Schizosaccharomyces pombe: one gene and its partners. Changing the gene in region 2 together with the main gene of any one other region gives a genetic interaction. Each region holds a gene or a part of one and is shown on either strand. Other genes may lie near its edges.

What was found.
Region 1: mutations in cho1 (region 2) and spt2 together harm fitness less than expected from each alone (positive genetic interaction), as found in Schizosaccharomyces pombe (one large-scale study listed by BioGRID).
Region 3: mutations in cho1 (region 2) and lam2 together harm fitness more than expected from each alone (negative genetic interaction), as found in Schizosaccharomyces pombe (one large-scale study listed by BioGRID).
Region 4: mutations in cho1 (region 2) and rqt2 together harm fitness more than expected from each alone (negative genetic interaction), as found in Schizosaccharomyces pombe (one large-scale study listed by BioGRID).

What each region holds. Positions count from the first base shown.
Region 1 is NC_003421.2:795,790-799,935, forward strand, and holds spt2 (histone H3-H4 chaperone Spt2), read right to left. Parts: upstream 2,287-4,146; 5' UTR 2,181-2,286; coding exon 960-2,180; 3' UTR 512-959; downstream 1-511. Other genes in the region: P3-type proton ATPase Pma2, read left to right, coding at 1-422; rps1501 (40S ribosomal protein uS19), read left to right, coding at 2,493-2,954; protein Fta4, read left to right, coding at 4,054-4,146. UniProt on the Schizosaccharomyces pombe protein: Histone chaperone that stabilizes pre-existing histone tetramers and regulates replication-independent histone exchange on chromatin.
Region 2 is NC_003423.3:1,056,463-1,059,634, forward strand, and holds cho1 (putative phosphatidyl-N-methylethanolamine N-methyltransferase), read left to right. Parts: upstream 1-1,901; 5' UTR 1,902-1,959; coding exon 1,960-2,489; exon of another isoform or gene 2,490-2,506; intron 2,507-2,544; coding exon 2,545-2,605; 3' UTR 2,606-2,664; downstream 2,665-3,172. Other genes in the region: ubiquinone biosynthesis protein Coq7, read right to left, coding at 163-813; pre-rRNA processing protein Esf1, read right to left, coding at 3,060-3,172. UniProt on the Schizosaccharomyces pombe protein: Catalyzes the second two steps of the methylation pathway of phosphatidylcholine biosynthesis, the SAM-dependent methylation of phosphatidylmonomethylethanolamine (PMME) to phosphatidyldimethylethanolamine (PDME) and of PDME to phosphatidylcholine (PC).
Region 3 is NC_003423.3:3,102,380-3,107,604, reverse strand, and holds lam2 (guanyl-nucleotide exchange factor Lam2), read left to right. Parts: upstream 1-1,818; 5' UTR 1,819-1,885; coding exon 1,886-1,953; intron 1,954-2,074; coding exon 2,075-2,489; 3' UTR 2,490-2,753; coding exon of another isoform or gene 2,754-2,858; 3' UTR 2,859-2,904; coding exon of another isoform or gene 2,905-3,626; 3' UTR 3,627-3,672; coding exon of another isoform or gene 3,673-3,805; 3' UTR 3,806-3,856; coding exon of another isoform or gene 3,857-4,321; 3' UTR 4,322-4,703; downstream 4,704-5,225. Other genes in the region: fim1 (fimbrin), read left to right, coding at 1-662, 717-838; Spo4-Spo6 kinase complex regulatory subunit Spo6, read right to left, coding at 2,754-2,858, 2,905-3,626, 3,673-3,805, 3,857-4,321.
Region 4 is NC_003423.3:3,743,985-3,751,853, forward strand, and holds the start of rqt2 (ATP-dependent RNA helicase), read right to left. Parts: upstream 6,026-7,869; 5' UTR 5,892-6,025; coding exon 84-5,891; 3' UTR 1-83. Other genes in the region: SNARE protein Ykt6, read left to right, coding at 6,185-6,288, 6,337-6,826; protein smp2, read right to left, coding at 7,488-7,676.

The DNA of each region.
Region 1 (4,146 bases), on a different chromosome or scaffold from region 2:
GTATCGTTCAGAATTTTGGTGTCCAAGATGAAGTTTTGTTCCTTCAAATTTCTTTGACCGAAAATTGGTTAATTTTCATAACCCGATGTAGCGGTCCTTTCTGGTCTTCCTTCCCATCATGGCAGTTAAGCGGTGCAGTATTGGTGGTGGATATCTTAGCTACCTTATTCTGTATTTTTGGATGGTTTAAAGGAGGCCATCAAACGTCCATTGTCGCTGTTATTCGCATTTGGATGTATTCTTTTGGAATCTTCTGCCTTATAGCAGGAGTTTATTATATACTTTCAGAATCCTCTTCATTTGACAGATGGATGCACGGAAAACATAAGGAACGTGGCACTACCAGAAAGTTGGAAGACTTTGTTATGCAGTTGCAACGTACCTCAACTCATCACGAGGCCGAAGGTAAAGTCACTAGTTAAATTTAGAAAACCATTTCAACATATTCGTTATGTTACCAATTTTTATTCATATTATCACTTTTTTGTTTAATAAGATCAATTATAATCCACGAAAAGATAAAAAAGGTTAAATAGGTGTATACTGAAAGTCATTACTAGGTATTGTAGGGTAAAAGCATCATCTTATTGCGGTAGACGAACAATTATAAAAATTGTAGTTAACCTTAAAATTCACTTTAAGGAAACACTAATTTCGCAATAAAGATAATGATGATGAGGTATTGCTATTTCAAGCATTATTAAACACTTATAAAGTGTTAACTCGGTTTTAATTAAACATTACGCGTAAATCAACTAAGCCATTAGAATGGCTACCGTCAAAATAAATTATTAGAGACATCAACATAAATAACAAAAGGAATGAACTTTTTCATGGAAAAAAAAGAGACTTAACGAAGACAAATCAAACAAACAATATTAAACCGAAATGTATCACAAAAGAAAGAAGTTGTAAATCATTGAGCAGTGATACAGATATTAGAGTAACATACAAAAAGATTATTTATTTTTCCTTCTTTTTTTCGCCAATTCTCGTTCCCGTTCGCGTTGTTCTTCTAATTCATCTTCCAAACGTGCTGCGCGAGCTGCCGCTTGTTCCTCACGCCAAACATCATGTCCGGTGGCCTCCATATCATCTTCGTCACTAAATACGTCGCGAGAAACATAGTCCTGTTTCCTCTTACCAAATATCTTCCAAATTTCGGAGGAAACATCAGGAACTCGATCGTTCAACTCGTCGTCATCGGAAACAACAAACTCATCGTGCCTTGAGGTATGAGGTCTTGCTTTGGGTTTTGTAATGGCTGAAGAGGCCGATGTTTTACGAGATGTATTGTTAGACTTCAATGAATTTGGTTTGGATTGCTTTAGTGCAGGTGAACCTACGTATGAAGTTTCAGAATTAGAGACTGTCCTAGGAGTGGCAGCTTGAGAAATCGAAGAATTCTGTCTCCTTTTCATAATTTCATCTTGTACTTCACCGGCTGAACGTTTATCTCGTTTTGGTCCAGTCTGTAGTTGCACAAGTCCATTTGAAGCATAGCGGGCTTTACGATTAGAAAAATTTGAAGTTGGAGGTGGTTGTCGAGGATTGCTAGGAGCGGCAGACGCACCTCCCGTCTTAAGCCATGCTAGAGATGCCGATATTTGAGAACCACGGCCTGCACGTAAACCAGCGGGTGGTAGACTAGCTGTGGAAGTAGCCCCACTATTACGAACCGGTTGATCTCTAGATGATGAATTCTTAACAGGTTTTTTAGGAGAGTGCGGTGATTGACTTCTCTTATCTTTTGATTGAAGCAACCCCGAGGAAGACGTCTCGTTGACAGCTGGTGCAGAAGATGCCTGTCGCAAAAGCTCATTATACGAACGAGGTTTACCCTGCCTCTCATTTTTTTTGCTTTCGAGCCGATCTTTCTCCTTTACTTCACGGATTCTTTTAGCTTCCTCAGCGGATAAGGGAGGCCGCTCCGACGTCTGTCTTGTCGATGCAGCTATTCTTTTCGCCTCCATAGCTTGCTGGCGTCTTTGCTCTTCTTCATATTTCTGCCGTAGTTCACGCTCACGCTGTAGTTTCCTTTGCCTGTTGCGTTCTTCAGTAATTTCCCGTGCTTTCTCTCGGATCTGCGCCTTTCTCAATTGTTCAATTTGAACTGCGGCTTGGGCAGATTGGCTATCTGCTAAAGCCATTAATTTTTGAAATGATGGGGTTCCTGCCATTTTATTATGAGATACAATCAATTCTTAATAATCCTCCTCAAAAAACCATAAATAATCAGTACAAAAACATGATTACCCTCCTACATGCAATACGATGATGGTTTCTGGTAAGTCGCACACATAAGTTTGATACCCAAAAGCTAAGCGATTGTGCAACGTAACGATATATACAGTACCCCTTTATTTAACTCTAAGAAATTTTATAGGGTAGGGTTTACGTGACTGTTTATAGTGACCAAAACTTGTAGCAGGAAACACTAGAAAAGATACGTTTGACCATCACCAACTACGGCATAAAATCCAATACACAGCATGGCCGAAGAACATGATGAAGCCGTTCGCGTTGCCGAACTGAGAAAGAAGAGAAGTTTCCGTACTTTTGCTTACCGTGGTGTTGAGCTTGAGCAGCTTTTGGATCTCTCTGCTGAGCAATTGGTTGATTTGTTCCATGCCCGTGCTCGTCGTCGTATGCTTCGTGGTCTTGGACCCAATGCCTCTCGCTTCATCCGTAAGCTCCGCAAGGCTAAGACTGAAGCTCCTCTTAATGAGAAGCCCGCCACTGTTAAGACCCATTTGCGTAACATGATCATCCTTCCCGAGATGGTCGGTTCTGTCGTTGGTATTTACAACGGTAAGCTCTTCAACCAAGTTGAGATTCGTCCTGAAATGATTGGTCACTACTTGGGTGAGTTCTCTATCACTTACAAGCCTACTAAGCACGGTCGTCCCGGTATTGGTGCCACTCATAGTTCTCGTTTCATTCCTCTTAAGTAAAGAGATGCAAAAAGGCGGGTTCAATGGATGGTTTCACTTCTATCTTATTCAATAATTTCTTTGTTTGGACTAACGTTGTACATTCGCATAAAAACCTAGGTTTTTTCAAGATATCTAAATTTGGTAGTGAAAGTAACAGTTGTAGAGCTGCGTGTTCGTAAACATGAATTATGTAAAGAGAAATACAGACAGATAATTTTTGTATTTGTAAAGTAACGAGTGTGTATAGTTGAAGGAGCATGGAAGTGTAACACAGAGCCGGACATATTGATTTACTTGACACTTGAATCTGCAATTTGACAGCTACGATTAGATTGCTAGCTTCATGATGTTTTACAAAAGCTACTTGTCCCACTCTTGGCTTGCCATCTAGCTAGTGAACCTATGAGAATATTTTATCATTATATTTTGGAAACCATCATTTGTTTTTGTTTCTCAACTAGCTCGAAATAACCTAAATGGTACTACATTGTAAAAACCAAGCTTTCGTTTACGTTTTACCACCGTAGAGTATATGTACCAATTCTGGGTGCTTGTTTGTAAATCTGAATTTTTTTGTAAGCTATTAGTTTTAAGGATAAATAAATATGTTTAATGCTATTCAATATTAATGGTATATCCTAGGTCAACTTCACAATACACTATACTCTAGGGTTCATCCTTCATAGAATATTACTCTCTTCGCTATATCTTAGAACTGATATATGCACTAATTTTTTAACTCGCATTAGACGAGTCCTTTCTAAGGAGCTAGCTTAATGATTATGTACATAAAATCTTCATTTTAACATCATTCAAAGTATTCTATTTAGTCGCTCGACTTTTCGACTTCTTTAGTCTCCTGTAACTTTCTCAAAATTTGTCATTAATCAACCATCAGCCAAGGTCTGATTGATTTGGTCTTTTTTTGTTAAGTAATTAATTTTGGAAGTGCTTACACTGAAGACGTCTATATGCTCAAAAGTCGCTGTTAGTTTGTTGCCTTTGCGTGAACTTGCTTTGTTAATTTCAATACCATATTGACTTGTTTTTCGATCAGTATTCAACTGTTTTTATTTTAATCCTGATAATCTTGATTTAAATCAAATTTACTTCCTAAATGGATATTTACGAACATAAAAAATCATTCATGGAACGACAGATACGGCTGTTGAACCGACCTATGCGCCCTCCAAAGGATTGGAAACTTCCT
Region 2 (3,172 bases):
CGAAAAGGAATTTAGATAAAATGTATTAATTAGATTAAGTAAGTTTTAACAAGGATCATACTATTGTGAAGCAAGAAAAACTAAACATTTTGAATCAAATGGGCGTTCTTTGCTTCATAAAGGACTAGCAAGTTGAGTTTGAGGCAGGAAAACTTGAAGTATTTAAAATCGTTTACACATCCAGATAGCCGCTTTGCAACCCATTTGAATGGCATTGGTAAGCAATGCATGAGCTGGAGCTTCCTTTGCGTTCCAACCTTCGACTGCAGTGTTCAAATGCTCTAGCTCGTCATCTCGAAACTCTGCCAAATGGCTACGAATCTCTTTAAATTCTGGAGCTTTATTTTCCAAATGAGCCGTTTCACGTAGTTGGTCGTTATAGTGTCCGCCAATTACCGTTTCTACTGCCTCTGTACAAGCCATAGCTGCTTTGGTTCCAAGCAAAGCAGTTCCTGCTCCCAACGCAAATCCAGCGATGTCCCAGAAAGGACGTAAAAAGGTAGGACGGACTCTATTCTTTAAGACATAATTATCAAATGTTGCGAGATGGTACTTTTCTTGATCCCACATATGCTGAATGGTAGGTGCGACTTTGGGATCGGTAAATTGAAGGATAAAGTGCTGACCTTTGTAAATTTGATTAGCGCCTAATTCACCTGCTTGATCGACACGAATGACGCTGTCCAAAATATTTGAGTCTTTCTCGCTCAGTTCTTTACGGCCCATCGAAATTCTACGGCATGTTATAGAGGAGCGAAGAAAAGGAGAAACCGACTTGGTAGCAATGGGTATTAACTGTCTACGTGACAACATCTTTTGTAATGGTAAAAAGGCCTGAAATTACACAGAGTTATCAATTTTCAAAACGAAATTTTACTAATCAACAATAAACCAATATTTCTAATTCACTAATAGATTGAAATATTCGACGAAAGAGACTATGATGTTGATTGGGTGTGGAGGATTAGAATGTGAAGTTCTCTACCAAACCGAACGTTTTAGGCGGAAATGCTTAGTTGAGTAACACGTTAGGCTTGAGGTGTATTTCATATCAATCTCTGAACAAATCTGCAAAATTCAAGCTAGATGGTTAAGTTAAGAAGGAATTAAATTTAAGTGATTTGATGTTCACTCTATTTTTATGGAATAAAATATTCGATAAACTTGTCGTTTATTCTTTTGCTTGATTAACGCAGTGAATACCAGTTGCTTCAACTTTATTTTTAAGTCAAAATGAAAAATACATACTTAGTTTTTAAACTAAGAGATTCAATAAACAGTGGCGTAATTTCAGGAAAGAAGCAATGTATCATTTTTTTCCTTAGCTAAATGGCTTTGCTACAGTTTCATAGTGTTCGTCAATCTTGACGGATATAGAAGTTCAATAATAAAATGCTTCTTATAAACAATAAAAAAAAAAAACATATTTAAGCTGCAGTTTTAAAGTAAACTCCAATTTCCTATCTTTTTTCCAACCAATTCAACTCAACATTGTATTTTCGCTTAAAAAACTTTAAATTAATTACTAGTTCAACCGAAGGGGAATCCGAAGATATACAAATTTCCAGTATTACTGATATAACAAGTACAAGTAGAGACTCAAAGACACCCCATCACAATTAATTTTTGACTTGCTTAATAATTCAAGAATGTAATTTGGCATTATGGATTAATTTTCTTTGTTATAGAAAAAAAGCTCCAGAACCACACCCACCTCCCCCATCGAAAATTTACAATTTGAAATATGCGAAATCAATCATTTCTTTCCTTTTTCTAATTTAATCTTTTAAACACAAATGAGTACTTATGTTTTTCAGGCCTTCTCTCATTATTTTATAAAATAGCAATATCGTTAAATTCCGTTGTATCAAAGACGTCGTTTGAATGAGCTTGATTCTTTACCCCAAACCAACTTCGTATTTATATCAACCTTTTATAAAAGCATATTTTTCGCTAAACATGGCCATTTTTGAAATCAATAATTCTTTTTTAATTTGTGCTGTATCTATTGCTTTGAACCCTCTGCTATGGAATATTGCTGCACGTTCAGAATACAATCATAAGACTTTGACCAAATTGGCAAATGGCGACTCTAAGAAGGCCTGTTACATGCTAGCAGCTTGTATTTTTGTTGCCGGAATAGTTCGTGACTTAATTTATCAGAATGCTTTAAAACAACAACCTACGCTAGGTATCTTCATGAACCCTCTTGTGCAGGGTATAGCTAAGCTCATTTTTTGTTTTGGCAGCGTCCTTGTCTTATCGAGTATGTATAAGCTAGGACTTGTTGGTACATATCTTGGTGATTACTTTGGATTTCTGCTTCCAGAGCGTGTTTCTGGTTTCCCATTTAATGTCAACGATAACCCAATGTACAACGGTTCTACTCTTTGTTTCCTTTCTACAGCTCTGCGTTATGGAAAAGTTGCTGGCCTCCTTTTAACTTTGGAAGTCTTTTTCGTTTATAGAATAGCTTTGAAATTTGAAGAGTAAGTTGCCAACTGTTTAAATTTTTAAATTTTTCTTTACTCTAACCATTAATAGACCTTTTACTGCTAAAATTTACGCTGCTCGTGATAGCAAGCAAGCTAAAAAATCCGAGTGAAGCAGCTGATTTGAAGTGGCCATAAGTTAAAGCTTCATTAGAGTTTTTTATAAAAAAAAAAAAAAAAGGAACAATTTTAAATGGAATGTTCTGTTCATGACTAGTCCTTACCTTTACTAACGCTCCTCCTTTAACCGATTTTGCCCTATGTACTTTGACGACTTCAACGTCTGTATAATTATGCATAGTTTAACGCTTTTTTTTTCAAATTATTTAAGTGTGTTGATCGCGGTCTCAACACCATGATCCGATATTTTTATATTCATACTTATGTAAAAAATAATCTAATATTTTACACCATGTAAATTAACGTGCTTTCATTCTAAAATCAAATAAAATTCAAAACAAATATATTAGCAAACCAAAAAAACCCCGTTTTGACCAATTTATATGTACAAAATCAAACTCTATAAATCCAATCGTTCAAGAGGAAAAACAGAGTACAATTTCTAATTTATTTTCCAGAACGTTTAATAGATTTGACAATGCGATCAAGTTCTTGACGTTGATCTCCTTTTTCAGCTTTACGCTTTTTGATTTTAAGCTCAGGCTTACCGTCTTGTGTTT
Region 3 (5,225 bases), 2.0 Mb from region 2:
CTTTGTTGCTCATCTCTTTAATACTCATCCAGGTTTGGAGCCTTTAAATGAAGAGGAAAAGCCGGAGATTGAACCATTTGATGCAGAAGGTGAGCGTGAGGCACGTGTTTTTACCTTGTGGTTGAACTCTCTTGATGTTACTCCATCCATTCATGACTTCTTCAATAATTTACGAGATGGCTTGATTTTGTTGCAAGCTTACGATAAAATCACACCTAATACCGTTAACTGGAAAAAGGTGAACAAGGCACCTGCATCTGGAGATGAAATGATGCGTTTCAAAGCTGTTGAAAACTGTAATTATGCAGTGGACCTTGGAAAAAATCAAGGTTTTTCTTTGGTAGGAATACAAGGTGCTGATATTACTGACGGTTCTCGTACACTCACCTTAGCATTGGTTTGGCAAATGATGCGTATGAACATTACCAAAACTCTACATAGTCTTAGCCGTGGAGGTAAAACTCTTTCAGATAGTGACATGGTTGCGTGGGCCAATTCTATGGCTGCTAAAGGTGGTAAAGGTTCTCAAATTCGTTCATTCCGTGATCCTTCTATTTCCACTGGTGTGTTCGTCTTAGACGTACTTCATGGAATTAAGAGCGAATATGTTGATTACAATCTTGTTACCGATGGTTCTACTGAAGAACTTGCTATTCAAAATGGTATGTATATATATTTGATATATTTTTAATTTTCATTACTAACACATCGTTTAGCTCGTCTTGCTATTTCTATCGCCAGAAAGTTGGGTGCCGTAATCTTTATTTTGCCAGAAGATATTGTGGCCGTTCGTCCTCGGTTGGTCCTTCATTTTATTGGCAGTTTAATGGCCGTATAATTTGTTTCGACTTAACTATAGCTTTTAACGAAACGATTTAACACATGTGTTTTTCCCAATTTAATTACTTATATTGCGAACAACTTCGGAAGTGAGTACGTCGCTTTTGACTCGCTATGTTATTAGTGGTATGTCATATTATAGATAACTTTGTGTTGTTTTATGATACATCTTAACCCGTTTTTGTCCCTTTAGTATTGGGTAATCCTTATCCTAATTAATGTTTGAGGAATTCTGAAGCTGCACGACGAAACGTAGTCATTTTTTCTCAAACTGTAGAAAATAGTTAGCTTTTTAATTTCATAATGAAGGGAAGATCATTTGTATATGTAACTAATGGTAAGTCTCTGTAGGCCCAAATAGTACGGACTGCATATGCAAATCAGCTTTCTAAATAAAGCATTCGTTGGGAGAACGTTGGTCTACCAAGCCCTAATTTTCAAACACAATAAAAAGAAATAAAAATGTATATATGTCGATTAACATTTTTTACTTTAATAAAATATTCGGAATCTTATAACAATATTATTTATTATCAGATTACTTAACATAATACACATTACGTCCACCGTATATTGTCCAACTATGTCAGCAATACTACACTACGCTATGCTACACTACGTTGCGTATCACTATATGTCATATGTTGGAATACTAGCTAAGATCCGTTTATTGATAATCACGGGTAACTATCCTTCTATATACATAGATACCCGTTGATAACAACTATTTAGAAATATTATAAATAGCGTTACAACTGAACCTCGTTCCTCAGTTCAGTTATGAGCTATATTAGTGATAGGTAACATTATAACCCAGTTAATACAATACCTATACTCAGTTGCTACTTATACAACCTGTGTATTGTAATATAATAGACCACAAGGAAAACTCACCGCAGTTCTACGTATCCTTAAATCAGATACCAAACTGCGTAGCTTACAAACTACTTATAACCACCATTCAAAACAGGTTAAATCGTTATTGCCGATTGGACTTTAAAATACATATTGCTACCTTTACTGCTATCTAAGTTTAAATTCGAAGATGATTAAGCCAAAGAAGTTGTCGTCGTTGATGAAACAGGCAGTTGAGGAAACTGTACCGTCTATCATGTAAGCATTTAGTGAATTTGAAGTTCATTCTTACTTCAAATCCAGTGGGTACACCTGTACTATTTTGGAGCTTAGATATATAAGTTTATTGTTGAAATATTCTGAGGTATTAACAAACTAGGGTTTTTACCACTACTGGCTCGCTGCTAGCTTATGTTTCTTTTGAAGATCCTAAAGATGGTTTAAAACGTCTGGATTTAGCTAAAAGGGTTAGATCTATTGCGGCTTTAGCAGGCAACATGTATTCACTTTATACTGCAACCAACCCTAGCCCTTTGGTCGCGGAGTCTACAGACGACGTGATTGCTCATCAAAGAGATGTACTTTTTGAAACAATAATTGAGTTTGAAAGGGGGAAATTATTAATAGCCGCCATTTCAATTGATGGGGCTGAAGATAAACTTTACTCCAAAGACCCATTATTATTAGGGATTGTTGGAACAGAAAACGCAAAGGAAGGAATGATGCAAATCAAATCTGAACTTTTGAAAGAGTGTATCACCAATGAGCTTTCCACGCTTGGAAAACCAGTCTAACTTATTTTAAATCTATTTTGATTTAAACTCGATAATGTTTGGAGCTTTACTTGCATTGTTTGTTACAATCATAGGCTTAAGCCTGACCTTGGTTTAAGAAAAGAATGCTACAACACATCATTATATTGTTAATTTTCTCTTCCCTTTTAGCAGATTATTTTGAATTTTTCATTTGGACAAAGGATATATTGATTTTACGGTTTATTTGAATGTTTGAACTTGCTTTCTGGAATTTTTGAGACATCCTTAAAACTTGAACTAACGTTAATTTGTCCGAATTGGGCGTCGGATTAGCAAAAACAAATCATCTAAACCCTGGAAATTTTCATCTTTCTCTGCAAATCTTCTATGATGTTTTCCGCCCAAATGCTATCGATGTGTTAGTGCTGTTTTTGCTATGATTGGTTTAACTTACCCTTTCCAAGTCCTTGTATCTCTCACAGCAGTTTTCACAATATCCTGATTTTGTTTCGATTTTCACCTTCTTGTGAGCTAGAGGATCTGCATCGAAGGCATTAGGTGGTTGTCGAGGACTTTGGTTAGCCAAGGTGTTTTGTTTGTTTATTAAACGAGGTTCAAGAAGGTTAAGTGGAGACATTGCGGCGCGTTTCTCTACCGGTAAGAGGTTTTCTGGCTTTGGAAACTCTGTCGGCATTTGTTTTGCACCATCAACTGCTGATTCTGTGATATTATAGTCCCCCATGATTTGACGCACCAACACACTCGCTGAATTTTTAACAACGTTATTTTGGTTAGTTTGATTAGTGCAACTTAAGAGCTGTTTTCTGATTTCGTGAGCTGGATGGTTATGTTTTGTGATTTTTAACTCCCTTCTTCTACCAGTATTAAATGGACATCTTCCTTGTGCGGTTATAGCAAGACTTGGCCATAAGATCTCTCCAGAATCCAATGTTTTCTCCCATTCTCGTACTGCAATTGGCTTATAGTATTGTGATAAATCTCTAATGCAGAGGAAGTATTCACGAAAGTACTCGACGTTTTTGCTTGGCACGTAAAAGTCTTTGTCTGATGTACCATACACTTTTTCACCGTCTAGGAGAGATTGCAAGCACGAAGCTGAGGTATTAACCAGGCTATCAGAGTTGAGTAATGTAAAGAGGATTCTGTTCAATAGTTCTAAGAAAGTTAGCGAAGGTTACACTGATATATTAAGAAGACTTACTGTCCAGGAGCCAAATTTTCATATTGGCAGTTTTCGAAAGGTAAAGTACATCATTCGGCTGGCACATTTCTGGGTCGGTAGTCCTGGTGGTAATGAAATGTGTAACTTCAAAAGTAAATAATGTTGCTACTTTCTATATATGTGTTAGTTTTGATCTGCGCAAGTTCTTGCATGAACTACTTACGGCTCCAAGATTATTAATCTTTTGCGTAACACGACGCTTGATTTCCTCATCAACGTTGTCAAAGTAAAATATAAAGTTGGGAAACGCCAATCGATAATCTCTTTGCCAGTAACGAAGTTTGGAAACTCGAATGCTGGTTCTTGGTATATCCTTGTTTCGCGTTAGGGAAGGTTTTACACAGTAGTTTGAAAAAGCAGTGGGTGGGAGAGCCATCTTTGCTGTGGCTTTAGCAGAGTCAAAGGCATTTTGATGAGGCATGTGCGTTTGTTGTTGAGGGTACCAGTCGGAGCATGAAGTTGCGCAAGCTGCAGTTTGACACAGTTCTTTGTCCGAAGTTTCTGTTTTATAGCTAAGAGGATTTTGAATATCTCTCTTTACTTCTTCGTTTATATTTTGTATACTGGGATTTTGGTCGACTAGAGGAGATCGAACAAACGGCTGAGACTTCACTGAATAGAAGTCCATACTCTTCCGGATTGACTCGGAAAGATTTTTAGGAAGAAGAAGTATGTATATATATTCCTTGGGAGGCTGATGAATTCACCTGTTGGTTAATCCTACTTATGTCTGGCTTTAATATTCAGCAATGGCCTCGGTAAGCAAGATGCAGGTTTTCCTCTAGAAGTAAAAAGATAAACCTATCTTTTTTTCTGTGGAAGTTTGGAGGAGTATCCTGGATATATATACAATTTGATTTTGTTTGTTTACTCAAATATTTTCTCATATTCACCTAGTATTGTTTGTAAACAAAAGCCTCGCCTCGCGTATTAAGCCAGTAAATTAAACGCGCGACACGTCGCGTTGCGTATCACATTCATACTAAATAAATAAGCTACTTTGGCTCCATTTGATAGTTTTGCTGGGTTCCTTTGTAAAAATTTTTTTAGTATTCATATGATTAGAAAATATATATTTACTTGATTCAAGCTTGTAAAATAAACATAGACCCAATTTTAAATAAATAGGTACCTAAAAGTCTAGGTAACATTGTTACACTGACACGTGAGAACTTTGTAGTTAATTAATCGTCAACATAACGAAAACAACTCAAAGCAATTCCCGTAACTGTCCATTTAGGAATTAACCAAAAAAACAAACAAACAAAATCTATTTTTATTCCAATGATACTTTTATGACTCACCAAGGCGTTAATAATTGCGAAAACACATACCAATATGTTTACAATTATTTTTTTAACGAAATTCGTTAAATACTTCATGGCATTTGAGAAGTTGTATGGCAATCGTATTTAACGGAGACTTTTTCATATTCAGTATCCCTTTTCATTTGGAACTTTAAGGTTTTCCCAGCTGAGAGTTCGTTTACATCATTTTATTAGATTTTTACTTGCAACTTGGGTTCGACTTTT
Region 4 (7,869 bases), 2.7 Mb from region 2:
TTTGTTAATTAATTTTTATTAAACAGACTTAAATATAATAAGGAAATTGGCTTAAAGCCTTCTATTTTTCTACAAAAGCTTCATTAAATCATCAATACAATTTTATGTTCGTAAATTAATGGGTATCCATCACAAACAACCATGACTTTTACATTTCTGTTGCGGCAAGTTGGTGGAATATCCATTGAAATCCGAAGGGATAAACGAATTGAATCATCGTTTCTTCGCCCAGCAAATGAGGCCCGACGTATCGCGAACAGTTCTTGAGTTTCTGAATCTATGATGAGAACGAAAAATCCCTCACTTTGAGGTTTAGGGAACAACGGCGCAAAAATGTAAAAATCGGGGTTGAGCGGCTGATTGAGGCGTCGTAGATAAAGGAGTAGCTTATCTGAAGACGATTGAGAAACTTCAATGTTCATTTTAGGATACGAAATTAAACTATTGACCAGACTTTCTATATCAAAAACGTTAGGGTCATTACATAGCATTTGATATAACTCATCAGTTTTATTTCCTGCAAATTTGTTGAGATAATCTCTTGCTTCCTTTTCACTAGACGCATTAAGTCCAGGTAATGAAGCTCTGTAAATCTCACTCGGATAGCAAGCCTGTTTAAGACACTGCATTAGAGATATGTACTGTAAACAGACATGGGAGTAGCCTAGCTCAGCGGACACATCAATATAAGACTGTATAATACGAATAACCTGATCTAAAACCGTGCTAGTATCAGTAACATAATCATCCACTGGAAGTTTCAATCTTGCCATGTGAGCTTGAGTTAATATAAATGCCTTAACATGAGCATCGACCATAGGAAGGTTTAGGCAAGCAGCCGAATATTTCAGAGATTTATTAATCTCTATGTTTATCAAATCTTCGTTGTGACGAATAGCGAGATCGTCAAACTCAGATGCTTCAGCAAGCAATTGCAACGCAAGATCGAACTCAGCGTTCTCAGTTATTTTTTGAACGAAGTTTCTGATGGTGGTATGAAAAAGATAATAGTAACTAACTATACGACCCAAAGTTGTAGGTGCATAGGTTTCTTCGTTGACACGATATATGCAAGCTGACTTTTCAAGTTCATTAAATGCAGTCACAACAAGTTTCGATAAATAAGTATCTATACTCTTTTGGTCATCTCCATCAGCACCGTAATAAACGGGATTTTGATGAACTCTTCGATAGAAGTAAGTGCACGTTAAAAAATCCATTGCACCCTGTATGCAATCTATAGTGCCCGTAGCAATCTCGGCATTTAAATGGTTATCCAATACTTTATGTAAATAAGACTCTACTGGAAATCCACTATGTAGAAAGTGCTTATAAAACGACTTCTTAATATCCTGTACAAATATACGTGCCACACCAGAATTGTCAAATTGTGGTCGTCCTGCACGCCCTAACATTTGAAGCACATCCGTCAAATCCATGTCTTTATAGCCTCCAATTTTAGCATCGTAATACTCTGTTCCTTTCACAATTACCAAATGTGCCGGCGTATTTACACCCCATGCAAGAGTGCTGGTGGCGATGAGAATCTGAACTTTATTATTTACAAAAAGCTCTTCGGAAATTTTTCTATCATTTTCAGTCAAACCAGCATGGTGAAGTGCTATACCAAATGGTAAAGCCAACTTGAGGCTTTTATCTTCAACTTCTGAAACAATCATTTCTAATTCTTCTTCATCCATGTACAAAAATCTCCTAGGATTGTCTTCTAAACCACAAAAAGCTATCAAATCTTTTGCAGTTAATCTAGTTTGACGGCGCGACGAAACAAAAATTAAAACAGGTTGGGTAGGAGAGTGCGTTTTGATGGCTTGAAAAGCAGGCTTATTCATCGACATCATCCTTGGGCAATAGGCTCTACCAGGGAATCCATCGATATATATTTCTAAAGGAACTGGGCGCACGGAATGCCTAAAATTAAATAGACCATCTCTTATGTTAAGCCAATTTGCAAGATCGTTAGCGTTAGCAACAGCAGTAGATAAACCAAGAACTCTAACTTTCTTATTAGTTTGAGAAGCAACATAATTCATTCGGGAGACAATCATTTCAAGGACAGGACCTCGATCGCTACCTAATAAATGGATTTCGTCAAGGATAATTAATGAGACATCCTGAACATACTTCCTAGATTTCCAACTTCTAGTAATACCATCCCATTTTTCCGGTGTTGTAATTATGATATTTGCATTCGTAACAGCCTTAACATCCGGGTTAGTATCACCAGTTAATTCAATCATACTAATCCCCATTGGTTCAACTAACCTGTGTCCCCAGTCCTTTACTCTTTCCTTGACTAAAGCTTTCATTGGAGCAATATAAACTACTTTCGACTTAGGATAATTGTGAAGAGCTCTCCAAGTAGCTAATTCTGCGGCCATAGTTTTACCAGATCCAGTAGGTGCACCAACGAAAATATTTGTATCGGTGTGATAAATAGTGTGAAAAAATTGAGTTTGGACTGCATTAAAAAACGAGAATCTTTTAGCGCATATACCTTCTAGCACTGGATCGTGCAAAGCCGTAATTGGTAAAGGTTGAAGATCCAATAATTCTGTAATGGGATTGGAATCGTCATGAAAAACAACATTAGAAAGAGAAACCGGGGTAACTGTTTCAGCGCCTAGCCATTTATCTGATACTGCAATAATGTATAGTTGTGAGGGTAATGGATTAGACACAGGTATGGTAAAGGATAGTAAATGAGAAGTGCTAACGTTCCGTTTATTTAGGAGCAACTGTTCATGATGAAGAATCTCAAGACCGTTACTATCTTCAACAAATATCCAAAACATTTGACTGTTTCCATGATATCTCATGTCCCAATTAAAATTGGGAGTGATATTTAATACAAGTCGCAAAACGTTTTTCGTTAAAGGTAGCAAATCAACATTAATGTTTAAAAGAGGTAATTTGGAAATAAATTTTTTAACTGTAGGGCCCATTTTTCGGTTATGAATAAGATCACCAAGTTCTCCTGTAGACATGTCCGACAATTCTTCTAATGATAAAGACCCACACTGATTTTCCACTTTGACTGCAAGGTCATGTGGAAGATCAAACTGAAGTAAGGGGTGTTCAAAAGACCACTGCCTCCTATCAATTGACTTGTTTAAGCTAAGGATAGTAAATGCCGAGGCCCAAGTCCTTGACATTGCAATTTCGAAAAGAGCCCTAGTTATTCGACCCGCGTTTTGTGCAACATAATTTGTATCTGATGTTAGGGTAAAATCTTCTACATGCGCACGAGAAATGTATGACTGCAGAATAACGTTAACTTTTCCTGATGTATTCGAAATACTATCCCTCAACTGACAAGGACTACTGTTTTCCATTAGTGATTCAAGCTCACGATGCTCATTTTCTCTCGATTTGATTTGGGAAAACTCGCTGCATTGGCTCAAAAGAGCTATAATGTCTGCTTCCGACATTTTGCTTTTCAATAAATTATTTAATGTTGAGACAGTTTGATAATTGATATAGTAATTGGACGCGATTCTACCTAAATCTTTAGGAATCAGGTATCCGTTTTTCTTATTGTAAACGATCATTTGATTATCTGCCAGCCTTCCTGCCGCTACAGATACCAATTCTCTTCGCTTGCTGCCTAGTAAAGGATCCTCAACAAGTTCGTCATAAGCAATACCGTATACAAGTGGATTACGTCTCATCCTGATATAAAGATAAGTATAACCTAACCACGATACAGCTTCGTCAATATTAGTTACCGTTCCTAAAGAAACTTCAGCGTTTAAGTTGTCAACCAATCTATCGGTGAAACGAGATTCAATAGGGCTTTGTTGTGTTACAACGGAGATGTAATGAGAAAGTTTATCATGTGTCGTAATTATGTACGCGACTGCCGAACTTTCAAACTGAGGACGACCAGCACGACCGAATATTTGTAAAACGTCCAACACGCCAAGATCTACAAAAGAACCCTTTTGTGGATCATAAAGCTGAGTTCCTTTAATTAATACAGCATAAGCCGGTAAATTAACACCCCATGCTAGGGTAGCAGTACAGCATAAAATTTTAAGAATACCCATAGAAAACAAACGTTCAGTAAGATGTCGGTCCGATCGTAACATGCCAGCGTTGTGAATCCCCATACTGTATTTGAAAAGTTCTTTTAACTCTTTGTTTTTTGACTTTGAAACATCTCTTTGAGCTAGACTATATTTTTCATGTTGTGAGTTGTCCAACAAATCAGCCTCTCCCTCATGGAAAAATTGTTCCCTCAACTTCTTAGCTGAATTAATGGTTTCCTTCCTAGAATGTACAAATATCATTACCTGATGGCCTTCCTGAATCAGTTTCAAAACTTTATCAAAACAAGCTTCATCAATATTTGAGTTTACTATTTTAGGAGAACCTTTAGCACCGATGAAATGCTGTTCAATAGGGCATGGACGAAATGCAGATGAAAAATAAAACAATCCCTTGTACCTATTGACGCCTAAAAAATCAGCTACATCAAGGTAGTTTGGAAGTGTGGCAGAAAGACCAACAATTCTAATCATCTGTTGACTTGTTTCTACCAGCCTTTGTGTCCTAGCGACAAGTGATTCAATAACAGCACCACGTTCATCATGAAGCATATGTACTTCATCAATGATAACCAAACGTACTTTCTCGGCTAACTGAGTGTCGCCGACGCTTTTTCTAGTAACTACGTCCCATTTTTCAGGTGTTGTAACAAGTATCTGAGTTTCTGCTATTTCCGTTTTGGTTAGTTGCATATCACCAGTAAGTTCTCTAGTTTTCAATCCCAACCAAGCGAGACGTTTTCCCATTTTCTCTACAACCTCAGCAGCCAATGCCTTCATAGGAGCAATGTAGACAATCTTAAAATCATCTCTATGAACATCTAGAGGTTCCGATTCATCCATAAGATTCATACTTTCTACATAGTTGGAGATTGTTTGCAACATTGCGAGCAGAGCAACATCAGTTTTTCCTGCACCTGTAGGTGCACAAATTAACATATTCTCGTTTGTCTTGTAGGCGATAGGATAGACAAGCGATTGGATTCTGTTCAAAGTTTGGTAGCTAAGGAATGTTTTTCGACAAAGAATATCCATCGAAGAAATTTCTAACAACTTTTCCCCTTGCATTTGTGGAGCACGCTGAGCATGAGGAACAATAATCTCTTCATATTTCTGGTAATCTTCTCTTTCACTACCAGCCGGTAATGCAAACTTTTTCCCAATGACGCTAATAGTATTACCAAGCCTTTTATCCCCATACACATGAGGATATTTTTCCACTTCAAAAACTTGCTGTCCAGTAAATAAAGGACCTCTGTTATCACGAGACCGACTAAATCTTCTCGGCCTACTTTTTAAACTGTCTAATAATCCCTGACCATGCGTAGCAGAAGAACCAGCTTCAGAGGTATAGCCATCAGAAAGTTGCGCAGCAATTGAAGTATCATTTTGATTCATGTATTCTTCTATTAAATTGGACGAATTAGCGACGATATCTGAAATCAAGTCAATATGATCAAGTCCAACAAGATTCAGTAAATCTTCTTGAATGGCACATTGATCTTCAGTCGCTTTTAGGCTCATAATGACTGCTTCAAATAGTACTGAAGCATCAAGTTCAGTACTTGAAGATTGAGAAATTTCATTGCAGCAATTTTGCAGCCAAGTTAAATCTTTAAGAGCAAATTCATTATTGTCGGAGTCAGTAACGTCCTCGGGATTGATTAAATTATAATTTGTTTTCAAAATTTCGTCAACTTTTAACGATAAAGCACCTAGCTCAGCATTCGAATCACTCAGCGAAAAGCTATATGGAGTATCACAAAAACTAGCAGGACCTAGCTTTTCTAAGTGATTCACTACATAATTTAACTCAACTTCCATGAAAACTGTAAAAGGATAGATCGTTGAAATTAAAACCTCCTTAAACAGAAAAAATTTGAATTTTTATTGCTTTTATAGGATTGTATCCAATATACTACCCAATTTAGCACTGCTAGTAGTGTAGGGGATGGTTTGTAAACAAATGGCCACTACCTATTATTTGTGTAATAGAAAAATACCGTAGTCGAAGGTATTATGTGTGTACATACGATTGCAAGAAGTATGGCGTTTTCAACCAAAGCAGAAACAAACTTAACCCACACCATTAACTTGATTTACAGCATATTTACAGAATGAAGCTGTATTCTGTCTCTATACTCCGCTTTGACCCAAAACCAGTGCAATTATTATGCACTGCCTCAGACTTATCTAGTTTCTCATTTTTTCAACGATCATCGTATGTGCAAGATTTAATTGAAGAGTAGTTTGTTAACAAATATTTCAGCATCGGAGAGTTCATGAATTTTTTTACAAAGACTGTTGCAGAACGTACTAATCCAGGGCAAAGACAAGACGTTGAACAGTCCAATTACGTTTTTCATGTGTACAACCGATCGGATGGGTTGTGCGGTGTGATTGCTAGTGACAAGGAATACCCTTTACGTGTTGCTTATACTCTTCTAAATAAGATTCTAGACGAATTTTTGACAAAAAATCCTCGCACCAAATGGGAATCTGGTGCTGTTACCCTATCCTTTCCAGAATTGGATACCTATCTATCAAAATATCAAGACCCCAAGCAGGCTGATACGATTATGCGAGTGCAACAAGAATTGGATGAAACTAAAGATGTACTTCATAAAACAATCGAGAGTGTCTTAGCTAGAGGAGAGAAGTTGGACGACTTGATCCAACGTAGTGATAACTTATCTACACAGTCTCGAATGTTTTATAAATCTGCTAAAAAGCAAAATTCTTGCTGTATAATAGCTTAATTATTTTATAAATTCATTTGTTTGGTTTTCCTTTCTTCCCAATGCCCAAATTATATCATATTTTTTCAAGTTGGTATTCTTGCATTTTGTTTGCTGCAATTATCGATTGAATATCAAAACCTTGTTAATTTTTCTGCGCCTGTTCCTAGAGTCCATGAAATTGTTCTTCTATCATTATCTTTAATCTGATCTTTTCATGACACGTTGTTTGCATTCCGGATTGCTTTTATGTTATAGAGTAGATTACTTGTTGAAAAAGTCTAGCATGTTTCAATGAGCATACACACTCTTCGTTGATGCTCATAGCATGAATGGTTCACTTTATAAACTTGTAAAGGAGATTTTTTTAAAGATTGTAAAATTATTGAGTTTGTTGGAGCGAGAAAACTATCGGGCTTTTTTCGTTACAGATTTTTCTATAGTTTAGATTTATCTTCTAGTATATATCAAGTTACACAAACTCAATTGTTGTTGGCAAGCAAAATGGTTTGGTAGTAATTTTCATTATTCGTTAATGCTATTATGCATTTCTTTGATAAAATAGTTCAAGAAAGGTAGTGGTTTGGTACCCTTCGTTTATTGAAGTAAAAGTTTGAAGGGTTGAGGAGTATGTGCAAGCACGCCATCAATATGCTGCAGATGCAGCTGCATCTATATTTTATTACCTTCCCGGTATAGGTTGCTTCTTCTTATAATAAAGCGATTTGCATGATCGAAAGCCCTCCTTCGAGCTAGGTATTATGGTGATTAATTCTCCATCCAGTGTATAGTAGTTTCCTTGATAGAGTTTTGCTTTTTCTTGGAATTGCTTTGCATCCTCTACAAAATGATTTTCCTTATTGTGCTGCATGTGAATGTGTGCAAGAAAATTGGTGTAATGGATTAGTAAACAAACACATTACAATCCACTTCATATTGCCTTGCGGCTAACCAAGTGATTCGGTGTATTTAATCACCGAGTTTTTTTTTGTTTATGCGAGGCAATTTTTGATTTTATTAAGCATATAGGTAGAATTTCATATTCAATTATTTATCTCGATACA